Linked DNA regions of Saccharomyces cerevisiae S288C. The protein of the gene in region 1 binds, or shares a complex with, the protein of each later gene. Each region holds a gene or a part of one and is shown in the gene's direction. Other genes may lie near its edges. The genes, in order: RSC1 and RSC3.

Region 1 (5,383 bases):
TTATCTGTAATAGAATGCTTGGTACCGGTGTTTTCGCCGTTTCCTCGACCATTTACACACTATGTGGGTCTGTGGGGCTTGCATTAATTATGTGGGCAGTTGGCGCCATTATTGCCATTTCTGGGTTATATGTATACATGGAATTCGGTACGGCTATACCGAAAAATGGTGGTGAAAAAAACTACCTGGAGGCTATTTTCAGGAAACCAAAATTCTTCATTACCTGTATGTATGCTGCGTATATTTTCTTCCTAGGTTGGGCTGCTGGTAATTCCATCAATACAGCTATTATGTTTTTAACTGCTGCTGATACTGAAGTGACCAAATGGAATCAAAGAGGTATTGGTGTGGCCGTCGTTTTTTTTGCATTCCTAATTAATTCTCTGAATGTCAAGATTGGTCTATATTTGCAAAACATTTTAGGTATTTTCAAGATTGGTATTGTCCTCTTCATTTCTATTACCGGTTGGGTTGCCCTTGGCGGTGGTCTCAAAGATGGTTATCAATCTCACAACTTTCGTAATGCTTTTGAAGGTACTGAAACCGCCACTGCTTATGGTATTGTTAACGCCTTATATAGTGTTATTTGGTCGTTTGTCGGTTACTCCAATGTTAACTATGCACTTGGTGAAGTTAAGAACCCTGTGAGAACTTTGAAGATTGCTGGTCCTACATCGATGGTCTTCTTGGCTATAATCTACATTTTTGTGAACATTGCTTACTTCGCTGTGGTTCCAAAAGATAAGTTAATTTCTTCAAAATTGATTTTAGCTGCTGACTTCTTCGATATTGTGTTTGGCGGCCAAGCCAAGAGAGCAGCAGCCGCACTGGTCGGGTTGAGTGCCTTAGGAAATGTTCTTTCTGTCATTTTTTCTCAGGGTAGAATTATTCAACAACTAGGACGTGAAGGTGTGTTGCCCTTTTCTAATTTCTTTGCCTCTTCTAAGCCATTCAACTCCCCAATGGTTGGTTTGTTTCAACATTTTATTGTTTGTACAGTAACCATTTTAGCCCCACCTCCAGGTGATGCATATTTGCTAGTCCAAAATTTAATTTCCTACCCAATGAATATTATTAATTTTGCCATTAGCGCGGGTTTGCTTTGGATATACTGGCAACGTAGACAAGGTAAAATTGAATGGAACCCACCAATTAAGGCCGGTGTTTTTGTTACGGGATTTTTCACATTATCCAATTTATACCTGATTATTGCTCCTTACGTTCCACCTTCAAATGGCGAGTCGGTGTATTCAAGCATGCCATACTGGATCCACTGTGTAATTGCTTGGGGTATTTTCTTCTTTGGTGGTGTTTACTACGTTGTTTGGGCCCAATTATTGCCAAGATGGGGCCACTACAAATTGGTTTCCAAGGATGTGCTTGGTGAAGATGGGTTCTGGAGAGTCAAAATTGCCAAAGTTTATGATGACACTATTGGCGATGTCGATACACAAGAAGACGGCGTTATTGAAACGAATATAATCGAACATTACAAAAGTGAACAAGAAAAATCGCTGTAACCAAAAAGGTACTTACCATCTCATCTCGATTCTTATAATCACGTATGAACATTCTTATAATTGCATTTTCTTTATACAAAATATATAGGTACCAAACCTCATTATAATTTCTGCCATTTAATAGTTTAAGATGCTATTCCGTTTCGTATTTTTTCAATTTTTATACCTACTATTGCGCGAAATCAAAATAGCATACTAAGAAAAAGCAATATCATGAATTGCTGATGAGATAGATTCAAATTGGAATTAACTAAATCTATCAGCAACGCTATAAACACAGATAAGCGCTCTATAAAATCGTTTGTCTAACGTTTTATATAGTTCTTTATTGCTCCCTTACCCTCTTTCCGTCAATAGTGATTGTTGTCTCGGGAAAGCTTTTTTTTTTATTAATCAAAGGCCCAATTGAGTTACAACTGAAATTAAGCTGAGTTGGCGGAACAGTGTGGTATTAGCGAAGGGAAAATCTGTGAAGTGCCCTAGCTACAAAACAGAGATAAAAAAAATTATATTTCAAGCATGGTGGAGCAAGATAATGGGTTTTTACAGAAGCTACTCAAAACACAATACGATGCTGTCTTCCATTTAAAGGATGAAAATGGTATAGAAATATATCCAATATTCAATGTACTGCCACCTAAAAAAGAATATCCAGACTATTACATTATAATAAGGAATCCGATATCTTTAAACACTTTAAAGAAACGATTGCCCCATTATACATCGCCACAAGATTTTGTTAACGATTTTGCGCAAATTCCTTGGAATGCAATGACATACAATGCAAAAGATTCAGTAATTTACAAATATGCCATTCTTCTTGAGTCTTTTATTAAAGGAAAGATCGTGCACAATATAAGAAAACATTATCCCGAGGTGACATATCCATCTCTAGGTCGAATTCCGGAAATATTCGCAGAGAGTATGCAACCCTCCGATTTATCCTCGAACCCCATTAATACACAGGAAAATGATGAAAAGGCTGGCTTAAATCCAGAGATGAAAATGGCTTTCGCAAAACTAGATAGTTCGATCACTGAAAGGAAACCAACCAACCAAGATTACAGGATGCAACAAAAAAACTCACCAGCGTTTCCAACCCATTCTGCTTCTATAACACCGCAGCCGCTGGCTTCACCTACTCCAGTTGTTAACTATGCAAATATTACCTCGGCGCATCCCAAAACCCATGTTAGACGCGGTAGACCACCAGTAATTGATCTACCCTATGTACTGAGGATTAAGAATATCTTGAAGATGATGAGAAGAGAGGTCGACCAAAATAATAAGACGCTTACCCTCTGTTTTGAAAAACTACCAGATAGAAACGAGGAGCCAACCTATTACTCTGTCATAACAGATCCCATTTGTCTAATGGATATTAGGAAAAAGGTTAAGTCCAGAAAATATAGAAATTTCCATACTTTTGAGGAAGACTTTCAATTAATGCTAACAAATTTTAAGCTTTATTATTCTCAAGATCAGAGCAATATAATACGAGCTCAACTATTGGAGAAAAACTTCAATAGATTAGTGCGAATTGAATTATCCAAACCTGATGAAGACTATTTACCTGAAGGTGAATTAAGATATCCTCTAGATGATGTAGAAATCAATGATGAGAAATACCAGATAGGTGATTGGGTTCTTTTACATAATCCAAACGACATCAATAAACCCATTGTTGGCCAGATTTTTAGATTATGGTCTACTACAGATGGAAACAAATGGTTGAATGCTTGCTGGTATTTTAGGCCAGAACAAACCGTTCATCGGGTGGATAGGTTATTCTACAAGAATGAGGTCATGAAAACTGGTCAATATAGAGATCATCCTATTCAGGATATTAAGGGAAAGTGCTACGTTATTCATTTTACCAGATTCCAGCGTGGGGATCCTAGCACGAAAGTCAATGGTCCTCAATTTGTTTGCGAATTCCGTTATAATGAAAGTGATAAGGTTTTCAACAAAATCAGGACTTGGAAAGCTTGCCTGCCGGAAGAACTCCGTGACCAAGATGAGCCTACGATACCTGTTAATGGAAGAAAATTTTTTAAATACCCTTCTCCAATAGCAGATTTGTTACCAGCAAACGCAACTCTAAATGACAAAGTTCCAGAACCCACGGAGGGAGCCCCAACTGCCCCACCTTTGGTAGGCGCTGTATATTTAGGCCCCAAATTAGAGAGGGATGATCTGGGAGAGTATTCAACTTCTGATGACTGCCCTCGATACATAATCAGACCAAATGATCCACCAGAAGAAGGTAAAATAGATTACGAAACAGGAACAATAATTACAGATACCTTAACCACAAGCAGTATGCCCAGAGTGAACAGTTCCTCCACAATACGTTTACCCACTTTAAAGCAGACTAAATCAATTCCCAGCTCCAATTTCAGGTCCTCATCAAATACTCCACTATTGCATCAGAACTTCAATCAGACTTCCAATTTTTTGAAATTAGAAAACATGAATAATAGTTCTCATAATTTACTATCACATCCTTCCGTTCCTAAGTTTCAATCGCCCTCTTTATTAGAACAGAGTAGTCGCTCTAAATACCATAGTGCAAAAAAACAGACACAGCTATCATCAACAGCTCCCAAAAAGCCTGCATCTAAAAGTTTTACATTATCCTCAATGATTAATACCTTAACTGCTCATACCTCGAAGTACAACTTCAACCATATTGTTATTGAAGCCCCGGGTGCATTTGTGGTTCCTGTACCAATGGAAAAAAATATAAGAACCATCCAATCGACAGAACGTTTCAGTAGATCAAATCTAAAAAACGCTCAAAATCTCGGTAATACTGCTATTAATGACATAAATACTGCAAATGAGCAAATAATATGGTTCAAAGGGCCCGGTGTAAAAATCACAGAGAGAGTTATTGATTCCGGAAATGATTTAGTACGGGTACCTTTGAATAGATGGTTCTGTAAAAACAAAAGGAGAAAACTGGATTACGAAGACATTGAAGAAGATGTTATGGAACCACCAAATGACTTCAGCGAAGATATGATTGCTAATATTTTTAATCCTCCGCCGAGCTTGAATTTAGATATGGATTTAAATCTAAGCCCATCCTCGAATAACTCTTCTAATTTCATGGATTTAAGCACAATTGCAAGCGGTGATAACGATGGGAAAGAATGCGATACGGCGGAGGAGAGTGAAGACGAAAACGAAGATACAGAAGACGAGCACGAAATTGAAGATATCCCGACCACGTCTGCTTTTGGCTTAAATTCTTCCGCTGAATACCTTGCATTCAGATTACGAGAATTTAATAAATTATGACCATGATAAATTCACCACATGTATCTATATATGTTCATGCATATACCATATATATTTTGTTATTCATACGATAGACCTCAATCGTTTTGTTGCCTTTCAAAACGCACAATTGTAAACCTAGCTTACTATTTATCTATCGCGGTCCAGAATGGCTTTCCTTTTTAAATTCATCCCAGAAGCCACGTCGGAGTAAAGTATTCGGCCTTGATGACTATTTCGAATCGAAATGAAAGAATAAAAGGAACTAGGAGGTTGTTCCAACAATTTTCCATGCCGTAATTTCATCGGTTATTAGGTTACCAGCATTTATCTCAGTTTATTTGAGTCAAGGTAATTTATTTTCATTCATTACTGTATGGAGTAAAAATGAATTCCATTTATGTATTCGCACGAAGAGAAATTTATCATCCGTCAGAGACACCAAATTACGGCCGAATTTAGATTTGTTTGCACGTAAATATGAGCCAATGAAAGCGTTATTATTCAATGTTTCCAAATTGTTTTCCACCGTTTTATTTTTCCCCAAGAATTCGCTTTTATGAATGTTTTTAATATAT
Region 2 (5,417 bases), on another chromosome or scaffold:
CTTAAGCAAAACAAAGAAACCTAAAAGCATGAATAAGCCAATATATTTCAGCAAGTTTCTTGTAACTGAACAAGTTTTCTATGTATGCACTCTCATATGTTTTTTTGTACCCCATTCGCACCATTGCGTTACTAACTATATGGAGACCTTATAATCTCTGCTTCTTTACAGAAGTCAAAATATACGTATGCATTGGTAAACTTGAAACCAATTGTACCCGGACATGTACTGATCGTTCCACTGAGAACTACGGTTTTAAACTTATCAGATCTGACCATGCCTGAATCTCAAGATTATTTCAAGACTTTACAGTTAATACATAGATTTATTAAGTGGCAATATAAGGCTGACTCTATCAACGTTGCCATCCAAGATGGACCTGAGGCCGGACAGTCGGTACCCCACTTGCATACACACATTATTCCACGTTATAAAATAAACAATGTAGGGGATTTAATATACGATAAATTAGATCATTGGGATGGTAATGGGACTTTGACTGATTGGCAAGGAAGAAGAGACGAATATTTGGGTGTTGGTGGTAGGCAAGCAAGAAAAAATAACTCTACATCGGCCACTGTAGACGGGGATGAACTCTCACAAGGTCCTAATGTCTTGAAGCCAGACAGTCAAAGGAAGGTTCGAGCTTTAACCGAAATGAAAAAAGAAGCTGAGGATCTTCAAGCCAGACTAGAAGAATTTGTATCTTCTGATCCTGGTTTAACACAATGGTTATAGTTCAATAAATAATAGATTCATACTTACGATATAAAAAATAGTAGGGAAGTTAATTTTCGTTTCGCAGCGAATCCCTTTTAGCAGAGGAAAAAAAAGATGAAACCATCCTTACTACTTTCCTCGAGGAGACTCAACAGTAAAGGTTACTTTCAATTCAATAAACAAAAGGCACAGCGATATCCGCAATTATGAAGCTTCAATTTTTTTCCTTTATTACCTTATTTGCTTGTCTCTTCACAACAGCCATTTTTGCGAAAGAGGACACGGCAGAAGATCCTGAGATCACACACAAGGTCTACTTTGACATTAATCACGGTGATAAACAAATTGGTAGAATTGTTATGGGATTGTATGGTCTCACCACACCCCAAACCGTTGAAAACTTTTACCAGTTGACCATTTCCAGGGACCCTAAGATGGGTTATTTGAACTCTATCTTCCATCGCGTTATTCCTAACTTCATGATTCAAGGTGGCGATTTCACTCACAGATCAGGTATTGGGGGTAAGTCTATCTTCGGAAACACGTTCAAAGATGAGAATTTTGATGTCAAACATGACAAACCAGGCAGATTGTCTATGGCCAATCGTGGTAAAAACACCAACGGATCCCAATTTTTCATCACCACCGTCCCATGCCCATGGTTGGACGGTAAGCACGTTGTCTTTGGAGAAGTCTTGGATGGTATGGACGTAGTTCACTACATTGAAAACGTTAAGACCGACAGTAGAAATATGCCTGTAAAGGAAGTTATTATTGTGGAAAGTGGTGAACTGGAAACTGTTCCTTTGGACAATAAAGACGCCGCCAAGCTACAGGAAGAGATCAAAGCGGAAGCTAGCGAAGCAGCCCACGATGAACTCTAAACTGCATCACTATTCAGGAGATGTATAGGCCAGCTATGTAACTATATAGTGCTTATAACAGTTGATTATCACATAGAACGAGTATGTTACCCTATGGCCCTTTTCTGGCACAACTTCACAAGAGTATTTCAATTGACCAACGTGGGTCTTGTTGACCAGCTGGGATCACACAGACCAAGAACTACCTTTATTATTAGGAACATACTGCTTTCTGGACACTTCCACTGCTATACCTTCTCGCAAATAGCCATAGTTCACCAATATTCATTCGGCCCGTTAGACGCTTGTAAGACCACTTTCCCGTTTTCGCCCGAGAAGATATATTAGCTGCTTACATTAGATTATTTCATCAAAACTCACGGCTTTCAAACCAAAGTCATTGGTGCTCTGCTGCAATTGCCCCATACTACGCAGATATTTAAAATCGAGGTTTCTGTGATATTTTCTTAAGCTCTTATCTACAAAAATAGCATTTCAGAACCAAAAAACAACGATGGATATTCGTGGTAGAAAAATGAAAAAACCGCCTGCATGCGTGCAGTGCCGTAAGAGGAAGATAGGCTGCGATCGTGTTAAGCCGATTTGTGGGAACTGTATGAAGCATAATAAAATGGACTGCTTTTATCCGGACGTTCCCGGACAATACGTTCCCTCTAGTTCTTCCTCTTCCAATACACGCCAAGTAGCCAACGGTCCGTACTTAAACTCTTATTACGCTTCTCGTCGTGTCTCCAAGGAAACTGCTGCACTTTTGCAGAAAAATCCAGAACTGGCTTCTTTGGAGCAAATAAGAGAATACAACACGCGTCTGCAACTGCTCAATGCTCAAAATCAACTTAATAATAGATCATCTGCGGCAAATGCAACCTTGAATCAACAACACACTCAATATATTCCAAAATCAGTGCCTTCCTTGGAAAGTAAGCCAGTCACTTCTGCAAACGAATCTTCTACTCCACTCAATTGGGTTCAAGGCCCTGCAATTTTTCATATGCTAACCTCTCCTTACACACAAGATGAAATCATCAATCATGAAATGAATTTCTTGAAAGGCAGACTACTGGAATTGCAAGAAATTACAGGTAAGAAAATTACGGGAGTAAATCTTGATCTCAAGCAGGATTCCTCAGCGCAAATGCAGTCTTCACACTCCAATAGAAACCAAGAGGAGTTTTTGACAATTAAGAAAAGAAAACTGAGTGAAGACGGCGTTACGGACGGGGACGGTAAGCCAATTCCAGAGAGTGAAAGAAGACCTCATCTTAATGAATTTAAGGATTTAGATCCTCAATTTTTGGATACTAATAAAGTTTTTAATGTGTTTAATTCTGCTATTTCAGAAGAAGGTAGAAACAGATTATGGCTGTTACCAAAAAATATAAATAAAAGTTCTATCTTCCAGATTCAGTATTTGATTGAACGTGATCCTTTCCTATTCAAATTCTTCAATGACTTGAATATATTAATTGAAACGCAATTTAATGGACCTTTGCACGATTTGGTAGCAAGCCGTAACAGTATTGAGCGCAACAGTGGCATATCTCAAATATTAAAGTTTCCTTCACAATCGATAACACAGACCCTTATCAACAAATACTTATCCACGATAACGGAAACGAATTCAATACTTCCAATATTAAAACCAAAGAGACTATTACCCATAGTTGAGCAGCTTTTTCCTTCTAACACCATTAATAAGCCAAATTCTAAAGATTTTGAAACTATTTTTCAAGTTTTTAGTGTGACCAATGATCAGCTACTAAATCTAGGATTTATTACTCTCTGTCTCCTGATTCTTTTTGAATCGTTGAATTCTACGGTTTTGATTCCTCTTAGAGATGATGAACACTTGCAATTATTCAATGTGTTATTCAACTACTTGCCTTTGTTGAAGTCTAATTTAACAACGCTTAGATTTGAAATTGAAAAAAGGTCAATGTGTAATATAGAGACCCTGCGGTTTATTTCTTTGTGGAAATATTACCAATTTGTGATGGACACGTCGTCATCGTCCTCTTTCGTAATTGATTACGACGAAGATATGCATATGGCATGTTTACTATCGTTAAATCATGAAACTCAAAATCAATCTCATATTTTGACCTGGAATTTCATATTTAAGAACTACTGCTGGAGACACCTTTTCTTAGGTCAATTGCCGTTGCTAATGTCTGAACCTTTCACAAATTCTACCCCAATTATTGATCCTTTGTTGAACAACGATTTTGAATTGATTGATTTTGAAGTAAACTTGATGAAATATTTGCAAAGTAAAGATCAACAACTATCCATTGATAAAATTATACAGTTAATCAAGCTTTTGAAAAATAAGAATATCGAGGTCAGCCAAGGATGTTTAACGACTCCTTCAATAATTAATAATATCATGGATTCTCTAATCTACAGGAATTCAATGTTATATTTGAACTTTTACCTCTTATTGCAATTTGAAACATTGAAAAATTATGCTAAATTTAACGAAATTTTGGAAGACTTTTTGGAATTGTCGAGGGAGACCTTGTTCTTTGTTTTCTCGAACTTAGCCAATATTAAATTTGCTGGTCATGAATTCACATTCATCAATAAATCTATTGTGGTTCTGCAAACTTTAGTTTTAATGCTTTTGGCGCTCTATCAAAGGTCTTTTGATTCTTCAAAGAGGACGAATGATGCTAATGAAATCAGTGAGCAAACAGATATTCATAGTAATAACGACAATAGTAAGAGAATAAAGAATAAAAATGTTATTCATTTAATTATCAACAAAATTGCAATGTTGTTAAGTGATTATACCAAGAATTGTAAAAAGCAAAATAAACTCATCGAAAATCTGATTATTAAAATTAAGACAATCTCCAAGTATATCAAAAATCTTGAGGAGAATAAGGTAACGACTAGCGCCGATTCAAATTATTCCATTAATAACGGATTTTCTGGCATATCTGCAGAGCAGTTGATTAAATTAAATCACGAGTTGAGTAAAATTTCAGAATCTCTGATAAAAACGGATTTTTATGAACAGAGGAAAAATAGCACAGTTTCTAATGGAGTTTTAGGCGCAGCAGCTCCTGTTGATAGCGACGCAAATTCGGATACTTTCGGTTTAACAAAGGAGAATTTCAACGAAGTTTTTGAGGCTATTCGTAGCTAAAGCGACTCAAACAAATTAAAGAAGAAGTTGAGACTTTTATAGTATTTATTATTTAATCTGAGGATTTGTATTATTTTTTTATATAGAATGAATAAATCAGAAAAAGGAAATTATGAAAAGAAAAGAATGAGGAGAGTGGGAGATATTTAATGTTGTTAGCTATTTATCTGTATGGAAGTTATTACCTTCTTTTAAGATGGTACAAATAGCATATAGGTGGGTTTGGTATAAAGATCATTTAGTTTTTGTCATAGATTTTTCAATTGTGCATAGGACCAGTTTATGTTACCTCTATCATACTTATATTTTTTTATATACAAATTTTTAAATTACCGATATTATATATAGGCACCGATAGTATAGCCCACCAAAGCGCCCAAATAACCTCCAACAACAATAGGAATTGGCCAATTCTGCCAATCTCTATCCCAATCCAAAGGAATGACAACACAACTAATCCAACCCCCTACAACGATAAAGATAAAATACTTCTTCCATAATCCCACTTTGAAATCACAATTAAATACAGAATAAACTGCAGGGTATGCTAAAAATGCAAAATGCAGTGACAACAGCCAGGTTTCCCACAATAAGTCCATTAATGGCGCACCAAATAATATAGTTAATAACATTGTGGGAAAGCTCAACAAAAATGTAACACC

The links.
Region 2: RSC1 (region 1) and RSC3 share a complex: the UniProt entries of both Saccharomyces cerevisiae proteins name them as parts of the two forms of the RSC complex.

Annotation. Positions count from the first base shown.
Region 1 is NC_001139.9:599,622-605,004, forward strand, and holds RSC1 (RSC subunit protein RSC1), read left to right. Parts: upstream 1-2,039; coding exon 2,040-4,826; downstream 4,827-5,383. Other genes in the region: MUP1 (Mup1p), read left to right, coding at 1-1,520; LST7 (Lst7p), read right to left, coding at 5,152-5,383. UniProt on the Saccharomyces cerevisiae protein: Component of the chromatin structure remodeling complex (RSC), which is involved in transcription regulation and nucleosome positioning. RSC is responsible for the transfer of a histone octamer from a nucleosome core particle to naked DNA.
Region 2 is NC_001136.10:1,068,067-1,073,483, reverse strand, and holds RSC3 (Rsc3p), read left to right. Parts: upstream 1-2,097; coding exon 2,098-4,755; downstream 4,756-5,417. Other genes in the region: HNT2 (bis(5'-adenosyl)-triphosphatase), read left to right, coding at 1-82, 172-738; peptidylprolyl isomerase family protein CPR5, read left to right, coding at 927-1,604; mannose-ethanolamine phosphotransferase GPI11, read right to left, coding at 5,094-5,417. UniProt on the Saccharomyces cerevisiae protein: Component of the chromatin structure-remodeling complex (RSC), which is involved in transcription regulation and nucleosome positioning. RSC is responsible for the transfer of a histone octamer from a nucleosome core particle to naked DNA.